3 linked regions of the Tamandua tetradactyla genome follow. The protein of the gene in region 1 interacts with the protein of each later gene in a pairwise test. Links are inferred from orthologs where the notes say so. Each region holds a gene or a part of one and is shown on either strand. Other genes may lie near its edges. The genes, in order: AP4B1, ZNF576 and TEPSIN.

Region 1 (7,307 bases):
ACACAGTGTATTAATGGCAAGCAGAGCCAGATCTGGTTTCAGGGGGGCATATGTGCACATGTACAGATAAACCAACTTCTTCTGAACAATATCAACAGTGGCACTGGCCTTCACCATTTCCATGAAAACACCCGACATATCCAAGCCCTGAGTCATGTGCCTGCAACACATGGCAAGAAGTAAAATTAAACCTATAATAGAGAGGGTTTTACTTATACATGTCTTGGTAATAACAAACACTTATTGAACCCTTAGTACATTCCAGTGAGATTCAGCTTTTACATTCCAGGGGTATGCTCTGGGCACATAATCTTGAAGAAGGCATGGTCTCAGACCTCTAGGAATTCAAATGTAGTAAGGAGGCAGAAAAGAACACCAGTAATTTCAATGCAACATGATAAATATTATAATAGAAGTAATGTACAAGGTGCAGTGGGAATCCAGAGGTCTCACAATGTTGGCAAGTCAGAAGGCTTTCTTCACGGAGGAAGTAATACTTTAATTAACAAGCAGGAACTCACCAGGCAGAGATAATAGACAGGTGATGATACATGCTATGAGGCACGTAAACATGGGCAAGAATGGCACATTCTTTTGAGAGTTGGCAGGAAGTTGAGGTAACATTCAAGGTAGGGTGTTCCTTGGGTGCTATGGTAAGTTTTGATTTTATTCCATAGATCACTATTTCTCAAACTATGGTTTCCTATGAGAATCAGCAGAGATGTTTGTTAAAAATTCAGATTCCGGGGTTCCACCTGAGCCTACTAAGTTCAGAATCTCTGGAGATCTTTGGAGTAGATGAAAAATATACATTTTTTAAAAGCACCCTAAGGGGAAAATTCAACTTCCCCCAGTTGAATTCATAATATTCCCATAAACAGTGCAGACAACCAAAGCAATAGGCTGAGCCCCCAATCTTCGGGTTTGTTCATATGAAACTTAACCCCACAAAGGATAGGTCAAGCCTACTTAAAATTAGGCCTAAGAGTCACCCCCAAGAGAACTTCTTTTGTTGCTCAGATGTGGCCTCTGTCTCCAGCCAACATGACAAGCAAACTCACTGCCCTCCCCCTGTCTATGTAGGACATGACTCCCAGGGGTGTGGACCTCCCAGGCAACGTGGGACAGAAATCTAGAATGAGTTGGGACTCAGTACCAAGGAATCGAGAAAATCTTCTCGATCGAAAGGGGGAAGAACCAAATGAGACAAAGTGTTAATGGATGAGAGATTCCAAACAGAGTGGAGAGTTTTTCCTGGAGGTTATTCTTATGCATTAAATAGACATCACCTTTTTAGTTAAGGTGTAATGGAGAGGCTGGAGGGAACTGCCTGAAAATGTAGAGCTGTGTTCCAGTAGCCATATTTCTTGATGATGATTGAATAATGAATGATGTGTCTGATGCTCCTTTTATCTACCTTATCAACAGATGAGTAAAGCATATGGAATAAAAATAAATAATAGGGGGAACAAATGTTAAAATAAACTTAGATTGAAATGCTAGTGATCAATGAAAGGGAGGGGTAAGGGGTATGGTATGTATGAATATTTTTTGTTTTCTTTTTATTTCTTTTTCTGAATTGATGCAAATGTTCTAAGAAATGATCATGATGATGAATATGCAACTATTTGATGATATTGTGAATTATATATGTAGAACGGAACGAACATAAGTTAAGAATGTTTGCATTTGTTGTTATATTTTTAAAAAAATTTTTAACATTAATAAAAAAAAATTTTTTTAAAAAGGCATCTCAAGGGACTTTTGTCCATACTAAATTTTGAGACCTCTGTGAGCAACAGAGTTAATGTGTTCAGATTTACATATTGGAAAAAAACATTGACTGAAATAAGGAGCAAGGTGCCTTACCAGTAAGCTATTGCAATTGCTTTGGTAATGAGGGCCTGAGTGCCAATAAAAAAGGGAGAATGGACATTTAGAACTATGAATCCCTACCATATGGCATGAGAAGTGAACGACTAGGTGTCATAAAGGTTGACTCCCATTTTTCTTCATGGCTTGGTCGACTGGGTGGTGACATTCATCAACACAAATACAAGTGGAAGAGCAGGTTGAGGTAAGCGAGAAGGATGTAAGTGCTATTTGGAGCATGTGTTTAATCTCCACGTGGACTTGTGGTCTGAAGCTAAGAAAAGAGGTCTGCGGTAGATCTATTATAGATCCGGGAATCATCGGTGTAAGCTGAATTGTTCAAGCCCGTGATGGGGTGAAACCTCCCATCTGAATAAAAGAAGTCCCATAAAGGAGAGTGAGCTCACACTCCCGAAAAGCAGGATGAGACCCAAATCTTAGAACGGCCATATACGAAAGTTCATTTCCTCTTTCCGAGTGGCTCGGGTTAGAGATTGCAGTGGGGGATTTGGGCTTTTGAGGGATTGGGTGATACCTAATGAGTCGTTGGATGACATTCCGGTAGCGCAGCCTATCCGCCTGAATGTGAGGGTTACACAGAGCCTTCTTCAGCTCCTTCACTACGTCCTCCGAGCCGAGGTACGGCATCTTGTGGAAGAGTCACGGAGCAGTTCCCACAGGTCCCACCCAGGTAAACCGTGTTTCTAGCTCTTTGATGTAAGAACCTGCGTAAAGGAAATGTCAGTTAGTGAAAAGATAAGAGCGTGACCCCACCCCAGCCCGGGCTTTCCAGGGCCGGAAACCTGGCTTTCGGACACTCAGTCTTCGACCTTCCCCTTTCCCCGGTTAACCTGATCATAGGGCCTTCAGGCCCTTACCCCGAACGCCCAAATAGCGCTCCAGCTCCCACAGTCTCCAGGCCCTCCGCCCGACTCCCAACCTCCAAGTCGCCGGCTTTTCTCGCGCTTCCGCGCGCTTGCCAGCACGGATAAGCCCAGCACGGCCTTCTCCGGAAGTCCCGCCCCCTGGTCGAGAGTCCAAACACAGCAGCTGCCACTCACCTTCTCCCAGCCAGCGGCCGAGGGGAGCCCGGACCCTGCTCTCAGGGCTCCTTTCTGCCACCCTCTCACCTTAAGCGCAAACGCGCCCCTCTCTGGTGGAGCTGCTGCGGGCAATCGGAAATCAGCTACTTCGGCCTGTCTCGCCTATAAGCGCGCGCTTTGAGCGCCCGGCTGGTCCCGGCTCCCGCGCGCGGGTGGGAGTGACGCTGTGCCGAGCGTCTTCCGCGATCCGGGATCCCACTCTCAGCCTCCCGCCAACGCTTTCACTTCCTTCTCTGTGCCCACTCCAGTAACTTATTCCTCTTCTGGTTGGATTTCCCGTAGGATTCCTGGCCCTGTTCTTAACCTGACATGACTCTTTTCGGGACGCGGTTGGGGAAGTCTCACTCAGCAGCCCAGTCCCCGTGAAGATCCCACTGGTGACTCTCCAACCCCGCGGCCATGAACGGGGCCCTGATCCCCCATACGCCCATTGCTGTGGACTTTTGGAGCCTGCGCCGGGCTGGTTCCGCGCGGCTCTTTTTCTTGTCCCACATGCACTCGGACCACACCGTGGGTCTGTCCAGCACTTGGGCCCGTCCCCTCTACTGCTCCCCAGTCACTGCCTACCTCTTGCATCGTCACCTACAGGTATGGGGGTGGTGGCGGGGGGCTGGAGTGGGCCTCCAGAGAGCTGAGCTGGGCATCTGAGTGGGTACTCCAAGCTCAAGGGAAGAAACTGGGGGAGAGGAGCTGTCACAACCATGGAGTCTAAGAGATGGAGAGTTAGGAGGATTCATTTTCCAAATTTGGGAGTTGTTTGGACCCACAAATGCATCTTTAGCCTAGTATAGGGGTGTGGCTTCCAGTTGGCCAACCTGGCATGTTTCACATATAATTAGAGAAATCTTCTAGTCCAGCCCGGAAAATGAGGTAACCTAATTCCTTATCTTTTCGCATAAGCTAGGATGTTCCCCAAACTCACCTCATTGTAAGAGTCCATCTGTTATGCTAGCTAAATATACAAATTCTCCAGCTCTGTCATTTATCCACCTGAATCGCCAGGAAAATTTGGCTGAAATTTTTAAACAAGTGCCCCCAAAGGGTTATTATGCTCAGAAAAGTTTGTGAATCACCTTACTAAACTGTTTTGTGGACAGTGGGTGGAGTGCTGAGAGGGAGGGGCCAGGGTGGATTGTTAGGGGATCCCCATTATAGCTTCTGCTTCAGGGGAGCTCAGAATTTGCCCAGCTTTCTGATTTGGGAAAGTGATAGTCCCTGATCCAGGGAGGTATCAGGGAGGGGACTTTGTTGTTGTTGGATGACCAGCTGTTTCCTCAGGTATCTAAGTTGTGGATACGAGCCCTGGAGGTTGGTGAGAGCCACGTACTGCCCCTAGATGAACTTGGAAGACAGACCATGACTGTAACCCTCATCGATGCCAATCACTGTCCTGGCTCTGTCATGTTCCTCTTTGAAGGGTACTTTGGAACCATCCTCTACACAGGTGGGCCTCCTAAGGGGTCATTTCCATCTTCTCAGACTCTCCTCTTTAGCAACCTTTACTCCTAATAGAAGTCTGGCAGCCTTCTAGCTTCATTCCATATGAGCACAATGACCCTTTGAATCATATCCTACTCTTTGAAGAGCCCCAGCCTTATGTAGAGTAACTGAAAAGTAAGAGCAAAATGAGGACATTTCTACAAAGATGCTATGCTACATACATCCAGTGCCAGACCATATGATAGTTTTTTCATGGGCCAGTAAGCAAATTTCCATCTGTTGTTGGGGGTAGGGGAGGCTTCTATTTTTTTGCTTCTGACATTCTGCCCACCTCCCACCCCCCTTATATTCTTCTTCCAGGTGATTTTCGATATACACCAGCCATGCTGAAGGAGCCAGCTCTGCGACCGGGGAAGCAGATCCATACCTTATACCTAGACAACACCAATTGCAACCCAGCCTTGGTTCTTCCTTCCCAACAAGAAGCTACCCGCCAGATTGTCAATCTCATTCGAAAGCACCCACAGCATAATATAAAGATTGGTGAGTAGTTTCCTTTTTCTCACCCATAGCTAGTGAATGTAGGTTCTTTGACAGTTCTCAATCTGTCAAGTCCCTGTACAAATCTCCCCTTGTTCATGAAACCTGCCCTGACTACCTTATTTAAAATCACGACATGCCTACCACCCCCTCCATATTCCCGACTCCTGATTCCCTATACCAATTCTACTTTCTCTTTTTTTATAGTACTCGCCACATTCCAATGTGCTCTATGCATTTTTTTTCATTTTTTTTATTTTTTATTAATTAAAAAAATTAACAAACAAAACATTAAGATATCATTCCATTCTACATATACAATCAGTAATTCTTAATATCATCACATAGTTGCATATTCATCATTTCTTAGAACATTTGCATCGATTTAGAAAAAGAAATAAAGACAACAGAAAAAGAAATGAAATGATAACAGAGAAAAAAAAGATTATACATACCATACCCCTTACCCCTCGCTTTCATTTACCACTAGCATTTCAAACTAAATTTATTTTAACATTTGTTTCCCCTATTATTTATTTTTATTCCATATGTTCTACTCTTCTGTTGATATAGTAGCTAAAAGGAGCATCAGACACAAGGTTTTCACATTCACAGAGTCTCATTGTGAAAGCTATATCATTTTTCAATCATCATCAAGAAACATGGCTACTGGAACACAGCTCCACATTTTCAGGCAGTTCCCTCCAGCCTCTCTGCTACATCTTGAACAACAAGGTGATATTGACTTAATGCATAAGAATAACCTCCAGGATAACCTCTCAACTCTGTTTGGAATCTCTCAGCCATTGACACTTAGTCTCCTTTCACTCTTCCCCCTTTGGGCGAGAAGGTTCTCTCAATCCCTTGATGTTAATTCTCAGTTCATTCTAAGGTTTTTCTCAGTCCCTTGATGCTGAGTCTCAGCTCATTCCAGGATCTCTGTCCCACGTTGCCAGGAAGGTCCACACCCCTGGGAGTCATGTCCCACACAGAGAAGGGGAAGGTGGTGAGACTGCTCGTCATGTGGGCTGGAGAAAGAGGCCACATCTGAGCAACAAAAGAGGCTCTCTTGGGGGTGACTCTTAGGCCTAAATTTTAAGTAGACTTGACATATCCTTTGTGGGGTTAAGTTTCATATGAACAACCCCCAAGACTGGGGGCTCAGCCTATAGCTTTGGTTGTCCACACTGCTTGTGAGAATATCAGGAATTCAACTAGGGAAAGTTGAATTTCTCCCCACTCTCACCATTCCCCAAAGGGGGCTTGCAAACACTTTTCTAGTCACTGATCAAATCACTCTGGAATTCATCGGGGCATCACTTTGGACAAACTAACAAAATCTCATGTCCTACCTGAGATTCCAAGTACTTATGACATTCAATCAAACTATCTACATGAGTTATATTAGGAAATGCTCTAGTCAAAATATAAATTTTGTAACAAATAAACATTTTTTGCTTTAGTCTCACACATTAGTTGAAATTTTAAACTACTAAGTACCATCTATTTTCAGCACACTGCAGTAATGACATTCCTTTGTTCTTCCTCATGCAAAAACATTTTTAAAATTTGTACATTGTACATTTCACTATTATTATACATGCTAGGCATTCCTAGATTATACCATCTTGATCTTTACCATCTATCTTTCTTTCTGATTTCATTTATGTCCCCAGCGCTCCTCCCTCTATCATTCTCACATTCAGCTTCATTCAGTGTTTTAACATAATTACATTACAGTTAGGTAGTATTGTGCTGTCCATTTCTGAGTTTTTATATTCAGTCCTATTGCACAATCTGTATCCCTTCAGCTCCAGTTACCCAATATCTCACCCTATTTCTATCTCCTGATGGTCTCTGTTACCAAGGAAATATTCCAAGTTTATTCACTAATGTCAGTTCATATCAGTGAGACCATACAGTATTTCTCCTTTTGTTCCTGGCTAATCACACTCAGCATAATGTCCTTAAGGTCCATTCATGTTGTTACATACTTCATAACTTTATTCTGTCTTACAGCTGCATAATATTCCATCTTATGTAAATGTCACAGATTGTTTAGTCAGCTGTCTGTTGATGGACATTTTGGCTGTTTCCATCTCTTGGTAATTCTTAATAATGCTGCTATAAACATTGATGTGTAAAATGTCCATTTGTGTCCTTGGCCTCATGTCCTTTGAGTAGAGACAGCATATAGATGGGTCCTGTTTTTTTGATCCATTCTGCCAGACTATGTCTTTTGATTGGAGAGTTTAATCCATTAACATTCAGTGTTATTACTGCATGGGTAGTAGTTTCTTCTGCTATTTTGCCTTCTGGATTTTATAAGTCATATCTAATTTTCCTTCTTTT
Region 2 (7,349 bases), on another chromosome or scaffold:
TCACATAGTTGCATATTCATCATCATGATCATTTCTTGGAACATTTGCATCTATTCAGAAAAAGAAGTAAAAAGAAAACAGAAAAAAATTCATACATACCATACCCCTTAACCCTCCCTTTCATTGATCACTAGCATTTCAATCTAAATTTATTTTAACATTTGTTTCCCCTATTATTCATCTTTATTCCACGTTTTACTCGTCTGTTGATAAGGTAGATAAAAGGAGCATCAGACACAAGGTTTTCACAATCACACAGTCTCATTATGAATGCTATTATCATTATACAATCATCTTCAAGAAACATGGCTACTGGAACACAGCTCTACATTTTCAGGCAGTTCCCTCCAGCCTCTCCACTACATCTTGACTAACAAGGTGATATCTATTTAATGCGTAGAATAACCTCTCGACTCTATTTGGAATCTCTCAGCCATTGACATTTTATTTTGTCTCATTTCACTCTTCCCCCTTTTGGTCGAGAAGATTTTCTCAATCCCCTGATGCTGAGTCTGAGCTCATTCCAGGATTTCTGTCCCACGTTGCCAGGAAGGTCTACACCCCTGGGAGTCATGTACCACGCAGACGGGGAGGGTGGTGAGTTTGCTTGTTGTGTTGGCTGGAGAGAGGGGGCACATCTGAGCAACAAAAGAAGTTCTCCTGGGGGTGACTCTTAGGCCTAATTTTAAGTAGGCTTGACCTATCCTTTGTGGGGTTAAGTTTCATATGAACAAATCCCAAAATTGGAGGCTCAGCCTATTGCTTTGCTGTCCCCACTGCCTGTGAGAATATCAAGAATTCTCCACTTGGGGAAGTTGAATTTTCCCCCTTTCTCACCATTCCCTGAAGGGGACTTTGCAAATACTTTTTTATTCACTGTTCAAATCACTCTAGGATTTATTGGAGCATCACTCTGGACAAACCAACAAAATCTCATGCCCTACTCAAGGTTCCATGTACTTATGGTGTTCAATTAAGCTGTCTACGTAAGTTATATTAGGAAATGCACTAGTCAAAATATAAATTTTGTACCAAATAAACATTTTTTGCTTTAGTCTCACACATAAGGTAAAATTTTAAAATATTGATTACCATCTATTTCCAGCACCCGGAAGTAATGACATTCCTTTGTTCTTCCTCATGCAAAAACATTTTTTAAATTTAGTACATGGAATCTTGAACAGGGTGTGAGATCTTGTTGGTTTGTTCAGATAAGTCTGATGCCCCAGTATATCCCAGAGGAATTTAGACAGCAAGTAAAGAAGTATTTGCAAAGTCCCCTTGGGGGACTGGGGAGAAAGGAGGAAATATACAACTTCCCCATCTGGGGAATTCCTGATATTTTCTTAAACAGTAGGGACAACAAAATCAATAGGCTGAGTCATTGATCTTGGGGTTTGCCCCTATGAAACTTATTCCTGCAAAGAATAGGCTAAGCCTACTTCTAATTATGTCTAAGAGTAATCCCTACAGAACCTCTTTTCTTGCTCAGATGTGACCTCTTGCTCTAAGCCAACTTGGCAGGTGAACTCACTGCCCTCCATGTTATGTCAGACATGACTTCCAGGGGTGTGAATCTCCCTGGCAACGTGGGACAGAACTCCCGAGATGAGCCGGGATGCAGCATCATGGGATTGAGAAAGCCTTCTTGACCAAAAGGGGGAAGAGAGAAATGAGACAAAATAAAGTTTCAGTGGCTGAGAGATTCCAAACACAGTCAAGAGGTTATCCTGGAAGTTATTCTTAGACATTATACAGATATCCCTTTCTAGTTTATGTTGTATTGGAGTGGCTGGAGTGAAGTACCTGAAACAACTTTTGAGTTGTGTTCCAGTAGCCTTGATACTTGAAGACAATTGTATAATGATATAGCTTGTACAACTGACTGTGTTATTGTGGAAATCTTGTATCTGATGCTCCTTTTATCAAGGGTATGGACAGATGAGTAAAAAAATATGGATAAAAAATAAAAGGGGGGCATACAGGGTAAAATAAATTGGGTAGATTGAAATACTAGTGGCCAATGAAAGGGAGGGGTAAGGATATGGGATGTATGAATTTTTTCTTTTTCTGGAGTGATGCAAATGTTCTAAAATGATCATGGTGATGAATACACAATTATACAATGATACTGTGAGCCACTGAGTGCATACCATGTATGGACTGTACATGTGTGAAGATTTGTCAATAAAAACATTGAGAAAAAAAACTATCGGGTATATGGAATTTGGAGGCAGGGCTTATATGAGGCAAAGCTCACAGGGCGTGGGCTTGGAGCAAAAAAGAGAATTGGGATTGTACTTGGGCCTGTACTGCAGCACTATTTGACATGGAAAAGGTCCCAAAGAGTGCTCTGTCCTGAGGCCGGGAAAGAGGACAACCAGTGAGGGGAGAAGCTTCATCTACTAGTTCCTACCTGGGACGTGTGGCTAAGGCAACATTGGGTGGGTGAGAATAAGGAAAAAAGTTAAGCATTAGATCTGGACAAGAAGCTACCTCTCTGAGAGTTCTGATTGTCTATAAAATGAGGTGTATGGGGCTTGGGGAAAAAATTCAGCAGCAGGTAGCCAGCAAGTGGGCACAGGCCAGGACCAGGAGCTGACCCTTAGTTGGGGGTGGAGCGCAGATGACAGAAAAGGGCCAAGCACAAAGCCCTGGCCTGGAGTGGGGCCTTGCTGACCTCAAAACCTGTGTTGAAGGATGGGACTTACAGCTTGCCCAAAATTCACTGGAGCTGAGTCCTCGCAGACTTCAACAAGCACTTTAAGGGCCCTTTTCCCCACCCCCACCCTTAGTTCTCGCACTCACCTCTGCAGAGCTTCCGCTTGGCTCTCCAGCACCGCCCGCAGGCGCTCCAGCTCTTCGCAGCGGTCACCGCTGCCGCAGCGGGTTGGCACCACGAAGAGAGTCGCGGCTCCCAATCCTGCGCTGTCCAGCAAGGCCTCTGTCTCATCCCGGGCCCGGGACTCATTCTGTGAATCCCCGGGCTGGAGGGTCCGCACAGCCAGCAGCGGAGTCCCCCGGGCCAAGGCATCACGCGCCGCCTCTCCCAGCGCTGGCGCCAAGATCTCCCTGTTCCCCTCGGGTCCGGGCAGCACCAGTACCAGCACGTTGGCCTCTGCAGCCCACGCTCCCGGCGCTGCGGGTGGGCAGCTCAGCTCGCCCAGGAAGAGGCCTGGGCCGGCAGCCCGAAGGATGGGGACCCCAGTCTCCGGCCTTTCCTCGGTGGTTTCGAGTGTCTCCACATCCTTGTCGCACAGCGCTGTGATCAGCGCAGACTTTCCGGAGCCCGGGGGCCCCAGAAACAAAGCAGTAACGTCACCCCGTGATGAAGGCATGGCTGGAAAGCAAGATGGGAAAGACCCCGATCAGGGAATTTCCCCAGCCCTTTTCTTTCCTAGTCTCCCCACTCCGTACCCAGAATCAGTCCTCCGCCCCGACCCCTCCTCCCATTCCTCAATGTCATTCCCCAGGATCCAGAAACCCAGGCGCCAGGCCGAACTCCCCAGGTACGCAGGCATCCTGCTTACCATCTTTCCGGACGCAAGCGTTTGCTTCAAAAATTCGAGAAACGCGGGCTCGAGTCCCCTTCTCCCTCGGCGATATTGAGTATTTTACTTCCCCACCCCCACCCCCCACCACCACCATTTCCCGGAGCACTTCCAAATCACTAACCGAGCTGTCGACACACGGGCGAGCGCAGTTCGTGGTGGCCGGGTCAGGCCCTAAGAAGCCCGGCTCCTGTGCTCCGGGAGACGGAGGACGGAGAGACCAGAGCGCTCGGATTTGGGGACGTCGGGACCCGATCCAGGGGTTTTGATATCAGTCCCTGGAGGAAGAGGCGTGACTCGAAAGCTTGGATTGGAACATCTGGGCGGGGAACAATGAAGGTGCCAAAGCGCCTGCGTACCGCGAGCGCCTAACCATCCGTACGCAAAAAGCTTAAGTTTGTACGGCAATGGCGTCTTGCGACGTCATCATAACGCTCCCCCTGCCGGAGAAGGACCCCTCCCGCATTCGGAGCCCTGCGTTGGCGCGGCTACGCCGCTGCCCGGTGGTAATCTGGGATTTCGGCTTCCAGGGGCTCACGGGGCGGAAAGGCGCGGCAACTGTGGTGAACGACTGGTAGGCGCAGCCAAAGGCAGCCTTGTGCTGTAGGGAGAAAGTCAGAGGGCTCCGGAAGTCGGGAGCAGGGAACCGTGGGCAGTGCTTGGGACACAGGGACACGGAGCGGGTGAAGGCGTGCGTGGAAGGTAGAAGTAGTCACAGGATGCCAGAGGAGGAGGTCTCCCGGGAAGAGGCGGGCTAAAGGGTGGGACCAGAGTTCACGTACCAGACCTACGACAGGTGGGAGAGACGGGGATCGGAGGGACTTGCTGGTGTCAGAAATCAAGGGTCCCACGCTCTGAATTCAGAGTTAGAACCATGCAGGATGTCATAGGTCACACAGGTGAGAAGGCTATAGGGGAGTCACGAACTTGGGGAGTGGAATCCTTTGGGAAGTTTTCATCAGGTTAGAGTTCAAGGAGATGGCATGTCATGGGGGTCAAAGGTTGGCATGGAGAGTCTCTGTTGCGGTCAGAGGTCACAGGATTAGCGGGCCCTCTGACTGAGGCTGATGACAGATGAGCTGCCTCACTTGATTTACTATTCTGTCATTCATACTCCTCTATCGACTAGAGGAGTCTCAAGTCTCCATGGAGGACCTGCACCCACAAAAGACCATGGAGCAACAGGACTCGTCAAAAGAGAGGAGTTCCCGCAGCCCGGGAGGTGACATCTGTGAGTACTTCTAGCCAGAGAGGGTGGGGAACAGGAACTGATGCTAAAAGGATCTCTACAGCATTTCAGTGTTCAAGGCTGTGTGGGATGTGGTCCCTCCCTGAACTGCCTAACAGGAACTGCCTCTCCCCACCCTCACTACCCTCAGGTACACCCACCCTGCTCCTGCCACAGAAACAGGAATGGGATGTGGTTCAGAGGCAGACGTTAACATCCAGGACAGGCATGGGGTGGGAGATATAGATGGGAAAGGGCAGATTGAGAGAGAAGGCCTGAGGTTCTGGCCACAACTCTGTCCTGGACTTGCTGTGTGATTGGGCCTCCATTACCCTAGCTGTCAAAAGGAGCTGCCGTTACCCATCTCACAGAGCTGTTGGGGGGAATTTGCTGCAGAAAAAGAGAAAGTTGGATGTTAACAACGATAGCCGTTTGACTTAATAGCAAGCACTTCTACTGAATACTTATGTGCCAGACAGCACTCTGAGTTTAACACTATCTCATTAAGTCCTCCAAACAAACCTAATGAAATTGGTATTATCACTTTACAGATGAGAGAACTGAGGCAGAGAGAGATTAAGGATTAATAAGCATGAGAGCAGTAATGTCAGTGCCCTCCAGCCCAAGACCACCCACCAGGAACACACCTGTAGTTGAATACCGCAAGGGAGAACACACACCAGGGGGAGCTGTGGGTGGTCTCAGAGGGTATAAAAAAGGACTTACTATAGGATTAGGGTTTGTGTTAGGCAGGTTTGGGGAGGGTTCAAGGAAGCAGAGTTTTGTTGTGGATTGGATGCTGTCAGAAAGCAGGGGCCATTCTCTGATTAGACATCTTAATACATCTTATCTGGGAAGAAGGAACAAAGTGAGGCTGAAGCTGTGATTGTTAAAGCAGCAGCAGTCACTCCCATTAGCCGGGATAGGGGGATCTTGGGTCATTTTTGTGATTTGGACAAGATTCATGTTTTTGTTGTGTTCAGACATGACTTTAGCATGGTCTCGTTTTTTGTCTTGATTCTTCAAGGTCTCTGCATGGTCTTGTCTGATGTTCATGTTCTGTTGAAATTGTATATGTTCAACAGAACACTGAGACTTAGCTATGGGTTCCAGACCAGCTCTGGGATGTCAGGCTGCTTTTCTCAGTAGTAATAACTGCAGACCGCTGTATAGCACATATATATTTTCCAGGTACTTGAAAGAAAATAACCCATTTATCCCTCCCAACAACCCTATGAGGTGATACTGTTATTACCTCTTTTTCCAGAGGGGGGAACCAATGTCTAGGAAGTGATGGAGCCAGGATTCAATCCCAGGTAGACTGGCTGTGGAGATTGGCCTCTACCACCACACTGCTGCTGCCCATCACTCCCTGGGTTCCATCCTGGCTCTACTGGATGTTGCTTCACTTTTTGAGCCTCAGTCTGCTCATCTATAAAACAGGTTTAATAATAGTTCCCTCATAACTCTGTCCAGCACAGGCATAGAGCCTGGCCTAGAGTGAGTACTTGGTGCTATTGTTGGCCTGATTTCGGGGATCAGGAGAGGTCCTGGAGCCTCCTGCTGGCTTCTCCTGACATTTTCCCCATCCTTCAGGCCATCCAGGGGCCCTGCAGTGTACGCACTGCCTCATCACCTTCATCGATTCCAAGTTCCAGGAGCGACACATGAAGCGGGAGCACCCAGCGGACTTTGTGGCCCAGAAGCTGCAGGGGGCCCTTTTCATCTGCTTCATCTGCTCCCGCTCCTTCCCCTCCTCCAAGGCCCTGATCGTCCATCAGCGCAACCATGGTCCCGCCACCAGGTCCTCCCCACCGACTGCACCCACGACTCCCCAGCCCCCCTTCCCCTGTCCTGACTGTGGCAAGACTTTTGGGTGGGCCTCTTCTCTGAGGCGGCATCGCCAGGCCCACGAGGCCCGCACAGCTTCTGGCCCCTTTGCCTGCACCGAGTGTGGTCAGGACTTTGTCTGGGAAGCCAGGCTGCACCACCACTACATCCAGCACGCCCGAGGGGAGCTCTGGGGGCCTTGGAGAGATTTGCTTCCCTCCCCAGGAAGGCAAAGGGCTTCTGATAAATAGGACCCGAAAGATATTCATTTGGGGCTTCAGTCTTTGGAGAATATGGAGACCTTTAGGGAAAGAGTGAAATCAGCCTAACAGTGAGATCTTTTGTTTTCAATCAAAAATGTTATTTGTATTCCCCTCATTCCAATTAAATAGCTTTAAATCCCAGCTTGCTGCAGATTATATAATAACCTTTCATGCTTCCCAGATGTGTGCCATGGGCTTTTGGAGCAAAGGGCACTGCATTTGTGCTTTAATGGGCTACAGGGAAGATGAGGTGTGGCTGACTTGCAAGACTGCAGTGTTTCTAATGCAGAGCAACTTGGGCCTTTGGGGCTGGGGCAGCAGAGCAGGAAGCTGGACTCTGAGTCACACGGGGGCTGCAAGCTGAGTCTCTGGCTCTTCCTTCTCAAGGAGGGGCCACCCCATTGGATGGCATCAATCCCTCTCATAATTTATGTACCATTTGAATAATTTTGCATACTATTCTAGGCATGGAATATT
Region 3 (7,345 bases), on another chromosome or scaffold:
GCGACCAGGCGAGCTTCAAGCAGGGGTGAGATGCCTGGATGCACTGGGCCTGCTGGGGAAGCGGTGCATGCTTCCACCCAGCCCAGACCAGGGCAGGAAAGACCCTCAGCTGAGGACAGAAGCAGCTCAGCCATCTCAGCTGCTGGAGAGCCTCCAGTGGCTTGAGGGTGAGGATAAAATGGGCCTCAGTCCTCAGAGAACTGCAGGCGTGGCTCTAGAGCCTGGAGCAGTTCACAGCACACCCTGGTCTGCCAGCTTGGATCTTGACTGCGCTGCTGATGGTGTAGGCAGCACCAGGCCACCTCTCGAATAAGCACCCTGTTGGAGGTGGAGCGAGTTTGGGGTGGACCAGAGGACAGGGGCTGAGGAAGGTCAGAAGGAAACGGGTATGGAGCTGCGGCCCGGCCGTGGTGCGGTCAGGTTCACTCGGCAGCACGGACCGGGGTTTGAAGGATGGCAGTGGGGGTGCCTGGTAAGAAGACACTTGAGGGGGGCCTGGGAACAGTGTATCCTGCAGAGCCAGACATGGAAATCTTTGTGGGGGGACATACCTGAAACCCTTCTGGAGTTCGTCAGAGGACACAGGAGAAGGCTTAAGGGCTGGTTGTGACCTCTGACCATGAAGGTTAAGGTCGGGACAAAGTGAAGAAAGCGAGTTGCAACCAGTTGGAGCAGCGGAGCGTGTGGGGAGAAACTCAACCAGAGGGGTGGGGTTGAGGTGCGTTCCCTTGCCCAGCCTTGCCCCCCTCGGGCCCCAGCTGCACCTCAGTGTCTCATAGCTGTGGGGTGGGAGGGAGCTGGCTGTTGCTGGTACCACCCCCAGGGGCACATTAGATGCCTGTAGGTCTGGTTTCCTGCAGTTCTTGTGAAATGGGGGGGCACGTTTCTGACGGGGCAGAACCCTCCGAGGTTCTCAGCAGTGACCGGCTTCTGCTCCAAAGCACCCTGGAAGCTTCAGGGTCTTGAGATTGTCCCACCCATCAAGAGATGTGAGTTTCCAGCACCTAAGAAAGCACTGGGCTGATTGGGAGAGATTTCTAAGAGGGGGGTGTGCTGACAGGGGCCACCCCCACCTCCTCAACAGGCTCAGCCAGAGTGCTGGCTACCCAAGGACAGTGTGACCTCGCCTGGAGTGAGGGCCAGACCCTTGGCGCAGTGCCCAAGGTGTCCAGCAGGTGGCGCGCACGGCCCTCCCTGGGTTCTGGCCGCTCAGTAGTCTTGGGGGCAGCTTTTCTCAGTTTCTTGTTCGCACATGGCCTGAGCAGATGGGGAGCAGAGGGATCCTGAGACGGCGGTCAGGAACTTGGGGCTCCCGGCGCCACGTGGGAGCCGACCTTTCTCCAAGTGGGACCACCTCTGTAGATTCCCTGTAGTAGGGATTTGTCAAGTTAACTACAAGGTGTCGCTTGTAATTTTATCTCAGGTGTACCATGTAAAACGGTAGTCAGGGCTGGAGGCTTCATTAGACTCAGATGGAGTAATCTTCAGACTTTCTTGGAATGTGTTCCCACATCTACTGCCCACAGGGTGTGTGGGCTGGGGCCCTTGGTGGTGGTCCCAGGAGGCCACAAGTCCCACACCCTCCACAGACGATAAAAGAGAAGCTGTAAGGGACTTAACAGAGTCTTTATTTTTAGCTCAATCATGCTTATCCCAACCCAAGTTCTTAACGTACACAAAATTGGCTAACAAGTCCCAACTCCGGCTACGGCCCACCTTGCTGAGGAGAAAGAAGATGCCCAAACACGCAGCACCTGAGCCCCAGTGGCCTCTTTAGTCCTAGGAGCTTTTGGAGGGTGCCACCTGGTGCCATCGGTTCACCCAAGCCGGGCTTTGAGGCGAAGGCTGGTGCCCGGCCATGACAGCCAGGGGCTCAGGGGCTCAGGGGCCCCCCTGTCGGCCTCCCTTCAGGGCCTTCTTGACCTGGAAAATCAAGTGTTTTGTCTGAGTGGGTTGTTTTCAAGTCAGACCCAGGGCAACAGGAAGGGAACTGCCACACCAGATGTCAGCTTGCCCCAGATACAGGGCGCCCGGGCCGTCTATGTGGCCGTGGCTTGGCGGCTGTGGGGCAGTGCCCCTGAGACTGGGTCTGGGATATAGCCTCAAGGGTCAGAGGGCTCAGGCCAAGTGTGGACCTTGGTTGTTGCCCGACCATGAGGGCCCCCCGCCCGTACCAGACACCCCCAACATGCACCATGTACGGTCCTCACACAGTTAAAGGAGGTGGCAGGGGAAAATGTGGGCTAAGCTATGCTAAGATGATGGGCCCCAGGGTGTGGCTCAGGAGCAGGGCTGGAATGGGAACCCGGAGCCCCTGCAGCTTCCTTCAGCCCCTGCGACTACAGGGAAAACAGGCACAAGAATGGCTCAGCAGCAAGTTTCCATGTCAGCAAACTCAAGTTCCCCCCCAAATCCAAGCCTGCAGGCAGGTCTTCTTTGAAGTTGCAAACAGCACGTTTGACTGAAACAAGGGGATTCTCTGGGTGACGGGCCTGCAATGTGCTGTCGGGAGATCCTTACGGGAATCAGGAACTAACAAATAGGGCAAGGCCAGGGCAGTGAGGGGGTGGGGCACAGATGGCTACAGCTCTGGACAGTTAACTCCCCAATCTGCATGTGGCTAGGAGCATGGGACCTGTGGTTCCCATACGGAACCTCCCACAAGAGCCACTACTCAAGCAGAGTGCAGGTGGCCTCAGCGCCCTTCCCCTCAGAAGGCCATAAAGCAGAGGCTGCCACAGGAGGGAAGCAGGTGGAAAAGAGCAAGAACGTGCGACCCACACTGCTGAATAACCTCCGCAAGGTAAGGAGGAGTCAGCTGGGGGAGGAAGGGAGCTGGAGTTTCTGAGACATAACCATCGCCAGAAAGTATGAGTTCTGAGCCTTCTGGAAGGCTTCCCAGTGTGGGTGATCCTGCCTTCTCCCAGTCCTTTCTGCTCTGTATGGTCTTGGGACATCAAGAAAGGCTGCCTTGGATTCAGCGAATTCACTGAGCTTTTATCCAAGTACCACATCTGGACCAGCAGCTCCCGCTGATCAGAGCTGATGACTAGCATCACAGCCCACCCGGGACTAACTGAATCAGGGGGCTGACGTGACTCCCAGTGACGCTGACCTGAGAAGCAGCCCCAGAACAGTGCCTAAGGCCCTGGTGAAGGCCTCAGCAGCAGATTCTCGCAGGTCCTGGGACACCATTGAGGAGGGCAGCTCCATCAGGCTTCCCCAGGGACCACCCCTGCTTGGGTCTCTCTGCCAGTCCCCTCAGACCCTTCCTTCTTCCTCCCAATCCTTCATGCAAATACACAGACACAATGTTGTAATCCTTTACCATATACGGTACTTGGCAATTTTCACGAGGCTTTCCCTGGCACAGCATCTGGTTGGACAAGGATTGGAAAATGCCAAGCTCGGAAATGGAAGGGACAGGTTCATGTATCAGGGTCATACCAAGAGATCAGAGGCTTAAGAACTAAGTCCAGCACCCAGAAAATGGACTCTTCCCACTACAGCCAGCTGCCATTCCTTCTGGTAAGAATCAGGCTAGTGAGGCTCGCCTAGAGGAATGCAGCTTGGCTTCTCAGTCTGCTGCACACCAGAATGAACTTATCTGTGGTGGACTCTCCTAGGCTATGTGCAGTAGCTAGGGCACGTGTCCACTGGATCAATCCAGTAGATCCGGTTCTAATTACAGACCCACCATCCCCACACTGGGCAAGAGCACTGGCCAAGTTTAAGACGCAATGGAAAGCTTGGGTGACAAACCTGCCCGCTGGGGTTCACACTGGCATCGGCCCCGTGAGAGCTGACACTGATGCTACGGTTTCTGTTAGCGTTTTGGGATTTATAAAGCACTTTTACACGCATCAGGGTCGTATCAGCGCTCTGCATCGCGTCTTCCGGGCTGGTGTGTCACACCCACTTTAAAAACAGGTAAAGACTCCAGGACAGCAGGGATTTCGTAGGCTTTTTGTGGGTCGATCGGGTCGCCCAGCGCGTAAGGCCCCCCGTAGGCGTTCAGACACCAAAGAAAAAGGGAAAGCGGGCCTTTCGCCCAAACGTTCGCGCTCGCGTCCCCAGTCTGACGCCCACCTACCGCGGCGGCGAAACAGCTCCGCAGGGCCTCGAACTCCTGGGCGCAGAGGTCCTTCCTCAGGCGGCCGCCCGGGGCGGTGGAGGCCTGCACGCACCTGCCGTACGCCGCAGCCTGGCGAAGGGAACGCGCGCGGGTCGCCGCGGCCCTCCGACCCCCGCCCCACCGCCTCCGCGGCCCTCTGGGTCCCCGCTCCCCGCTCCGCGCTCCCCCAGCTCTCCGGCTCCTCACCTCTGCCCCGCAGGTCGTCAGGTGGTCGGGGAAGGCGCGGAGTCGGCTCCGCACACGACTCCAGAGCGCTCCGTTCGTTGACATGAGTGACTTCTTCCGGCACCCAAGGGAGCCGCCACGCTGGGTCCATCCTCTTCCGGCACCCAAGAGCTTCATAGGTTTACTTCCACGCCTATAACCTCTCCTGGGCTTTCTATTTGACCAGGCCGCTGGCCTCCCAGAGTCTTGCGATTGGCTCTTGCCACTGCCGGTTTCTACTCTGGGGCTTTGGATTGGCTCGGGCTCACATTGTTTACCGGAGACGCGCCCAGGGCCCGCCCCGACCAGAGCGATTGGCCAGCGTTTGTAGAGCGCGCGCGGTGATTGGAGAAAGCCTGGAGCCTGGCGGAAGCGAGGGTGGGTCGGAAGGGTGACCGGGATCATGGCGGCTGCGCCGCTGCTGCGCGACCGTCTGAGCTTCTTGCACCGGGTGAGTGAGGGCGTCTCGAGCCCCGGCCCCAGCCCGCCTCCCCGCCGGCCCCCGTCCTCTGCCCCACCTGGCGCCCACGGGCCGGTCCGACTGGACAGGTCGCCCGGGTGCGGGCTTCATTCTCACGGGAGTGAGCTGGGCCCCTTCAGAAGCGAGCTGTGGACCCCCGTGTCCGATCCTTCACCAGGAAGGGGTCACCGCGAGTCCCAACTCGCTGCCGGACCGCCCCAGACCCCCTCCGGCCGCGCGGGAGTGCGGGGAGCGGGCGCGCAGCCCCCTTCCCCGCCCAGGGCTCCCCTCCCCCCCTTCTCCCTTGGGTGGGACCGTGTGCAGGCCTGACAGACCCGGGCCCCCGATCACCCCCCACGCCCTCCCGGTGGGCGTTCGTGTTCAGGCTTGCTTGATCCAGATGCTGAACGGGAGAATGGCTGTTTCCACCTCTGTTCCTACGCACAGTGTGTGCTTGTGCCAGGATCTAAGCACGTTGCATAAATGTTTGTGCTTGTAAAAAAATACGCAACATGAATGCGCTCCTGTTTCGGTGGTCATGTCTGCAGGGCCGGTTCCCCGTTCCGGGTAATAAATAGGGCCACAAGGTGTTCCTTCTGAACTGTCTCGCATTGCTGGTCTTGGCGCTGGCAAGGTGGAATCGTTTGCAGTTCCCCTGCCTGGGAAGGGGGCTCTCCACGCTGGTATGCTTTCCTAGTCTAATAGATCTGTGTGTTAAAGCCGCCTTTAAGGTGGCTCACCCATCTTAGTAGGGAACAGAGCAGCTGTCCAACTGGAGAAGCCATTGGTAAGCCCAGAAACCAGGGGCCCTCAGGGCACTGAGGCTGTTCTGCTGGCTGCTGCCTTGGCATTTCTGTCTCCTCAGAGGCGGTGGGCTCACCCCCATGGACGTGGTTCTGCTCACTAGGGCTGGGGACCCTTGTTCCCTTCCAGCTCCCAGTTCTCCTGAAAGGGACGTCGGACGATGATGCTCCATGTCCCGGATACCTGTTTGAGGAGATTGCTAGTATCCTTCCTCGGCATCCCCAGGGGCTGGGTGAGCAGATGGTGGGGCCCTGAGCGGCACAGGGAGCTGCTGGGGTTCTCTTCTCCCAGCTGGGTTCCACGGGCTCTGTTTCCATGGCAACCAGGTGCAGGCATGGTAAAAAATGGCATCACTGCTCACTGAGGCCTGGAGACACCGGAGACCCAAACGTAGCCTTTGGACTGAGGCCACAGCCTGCAGTAGGTCCCTTAGCGTGCATGTTGGACACACAAAGCCAAGCAGATGGCAGTGGGAAATCCCATTTCCTCACATCCACCAGTGGGCCCCAGGGTCAGCTTGCTCCTTCCCTAACCACGTGCCCCAGAAATCTCCCATGAGTCCCTGGGCAGCAGCCAGTGCCTCCTGGAGTACCTGTTGAGCCGGCTGCAGAATGGCTCTGGCCACGTGAAGCTCAAGGTGAGTTGGTGGGTGACAGTGGTGTGGGTCTACAACTGTCCCAGGTCCTTCTCAGGATGGGACAAGTCAGGGCCCCAGGTGTGTACCTTAGAACGAAAGGCATATGGGCTATGGCAGGGCGGGGCTGGCTGCTGGGCCCTGCACCTGAGTGTCCTAGGAATGCACCCCACCCAACCTCTGCCTGTCCTGATCCCCCCAGGTACTGAAGATCCTGCTCTACCTGTGCAGCCACGGCTCCTCCTCCTTCCTGCTTATCCTCCAACGCAATTCTGCCCTCATCCAAGAAGCCGCAGGTACTGGGGCTCCACACGCCCTCTTGGGGAGCACTGGGGAACCCCAGATGTGGGCAGAGACGTCAAGTCACTGTGGTCTCAATGGGGAAGACTTCTGCCAAGCTCCCTTCGCGGGGGCCTGGTCCTGTGCCTGTCTCACTGGTGCTCAGCCCCTGCTGTTCCTCATGCTGTCCGTGCACAGACGTCTGTCCTGCAGCCCATCCTCTGCTCTTCACCTGCCAAACTCATCCTTCCCGGCGGCCAGCGCGGTGTCTCTCTTCCCAATCTCTCTGACCTTTCCCTGCCCGCCTCTCCCCGTGGGGTCGCTGTTCCTTCTGTTTGCATCTGTACAGGCACTGGCCTCGCTGTAGCAGGATCATTCCTTTCTCTGTTCACGCCTTCCTAGGCCAGTCAAGGCACCAGCCTTCCCCCCGATCCCCAGGGCCAGACCCATGCGGGCACCTTGGTGAGCGTCTGGCCGGGCAGCAAGGACACACCTGCCCTCCACACCTCCTCCCGGCTCACCTCCCCGTCGTGGGTTCACGCTTCTTCCAGGGCTGCTCCCAGAGTCCCAAACAAAGGGTGCTCACAAGCTTCCACTTCCCAAAAGACTGTGGGAGGACATGACAGGGAGGCCGTCAGTAAAGGGGGCTCCCGGCCTGTCTTGATCCTGAGTAATACGTGGGTCTTCCCTCTTCCCTGACTCCCTTCCCCACCCAGGCCACTGCAGTCAGTTGTCTTTCACCAATATGGAGCTGGTGCAGTATGGCCTGGAATCTTTCACTTAGGGTCGGGGTCTCCAGGCCAGAACCCACCAGGTCCTCCTTAGGCCG

The links.
Region 2: the proteins of AP4B1 (region 1) and ZNF576 interact in binary tests that used the Homo sapiens proteins (3 or more experiments, as listed by UniProt). The two-hybrid records come from large-scale screens. The link is inferred for Tamandua tetradactyla from reciprocal best matches to the Homo sapiens genes AP4B1 and ZNF576.
Region 3: the proteins of AP4B1 (region 1) and TEPSIN interact in binary tests that used the Homo sapiens proteins (3 or more experiments, as listed by UniProt). The link is inferred for Tamandua tetradactyla from reciprocal best matches to the Homo sapiens genes AP4B1 and TEPSIN.

What each region holds. Positions count from the first base shown.
Region 1 is NC_135337.1:7,778,335-7,785,641, reverse strand, and holds the start of AP4B1 (AP-4 complex subunit beta-1), read right to left. Parts: upstream 3,054-7,307; 5' UTR 2,934-3,053; intron 2,893-2,933; exon of another isoform or gene 2,676-2,892; intron 2,598-2,675; 5' UTR 2,521-2,597; coding exon 2,408-2,520; intron 161-2,407; coding exon 1-160. Other genes in the region: DCLRE1B (5' exonuclease Apollo), read left to right, coding at 3,375-3,563, 4,254-4,419, 4,776-4,958.
Region 2 is NC_135342.1:21,196,093-21,203,441, reverse strand, and holds the start of ZNF576 (zinc finger protein 576), read left to right. Parts: upstream 1-4,259; 5' UTR 4,260-4,425; coding exon 4,426-4,450; intron 4,451-4,680; coding exon 4,681-4,782; intron 4,783-6,375; coding exon 6,376-6,860; 3' UTR 6,861-7,349. Other genes in the region: IRGQ (immunity-related GTPase family Q protein), read right to left, coding at 2,809-3,340, 3,531-3,648. UniProt on the Homo sapiens protein: May be involved in transcriptional regulation.
Region 3 is NC_135332.1:73,513,861-73,521,205, reverse strand, and holds the start of TEPSIN (AP-4 complex accessory subunit tepsin), read left to right. Parts: upstream 1-4,265; 5' UTR 4,266-4,321; coding exon of another isoform or gene 4,322-4,477; 5' UTR 4,478-4,742; coding exon 4,743-4,790; intron 4,791-5,732; coding exon 5,733-5,805; coding exon of another isoform or gene 5,806-5,835; intron 5,836-6,148; coding exon 6,149-6,240; intron 6,241-6,439; coding exon 6,440-6,533; intron 6,534-7,345. Other genes in the region: NDUFAF8 (NADH dehydrogenase [ubiquinone] 1 alpha subcomplex assembly factor 8), read right to left, coding at 1,882-1,923, 3,329-3,376, 4,094-4,204, 4,322-4,477. UniProt on the Homo sapiens protein: Associates with the adapter-like complex 4 (AP-4) and may therefore play a role in vesicular trafficking of proteins at the trans-Golgi network.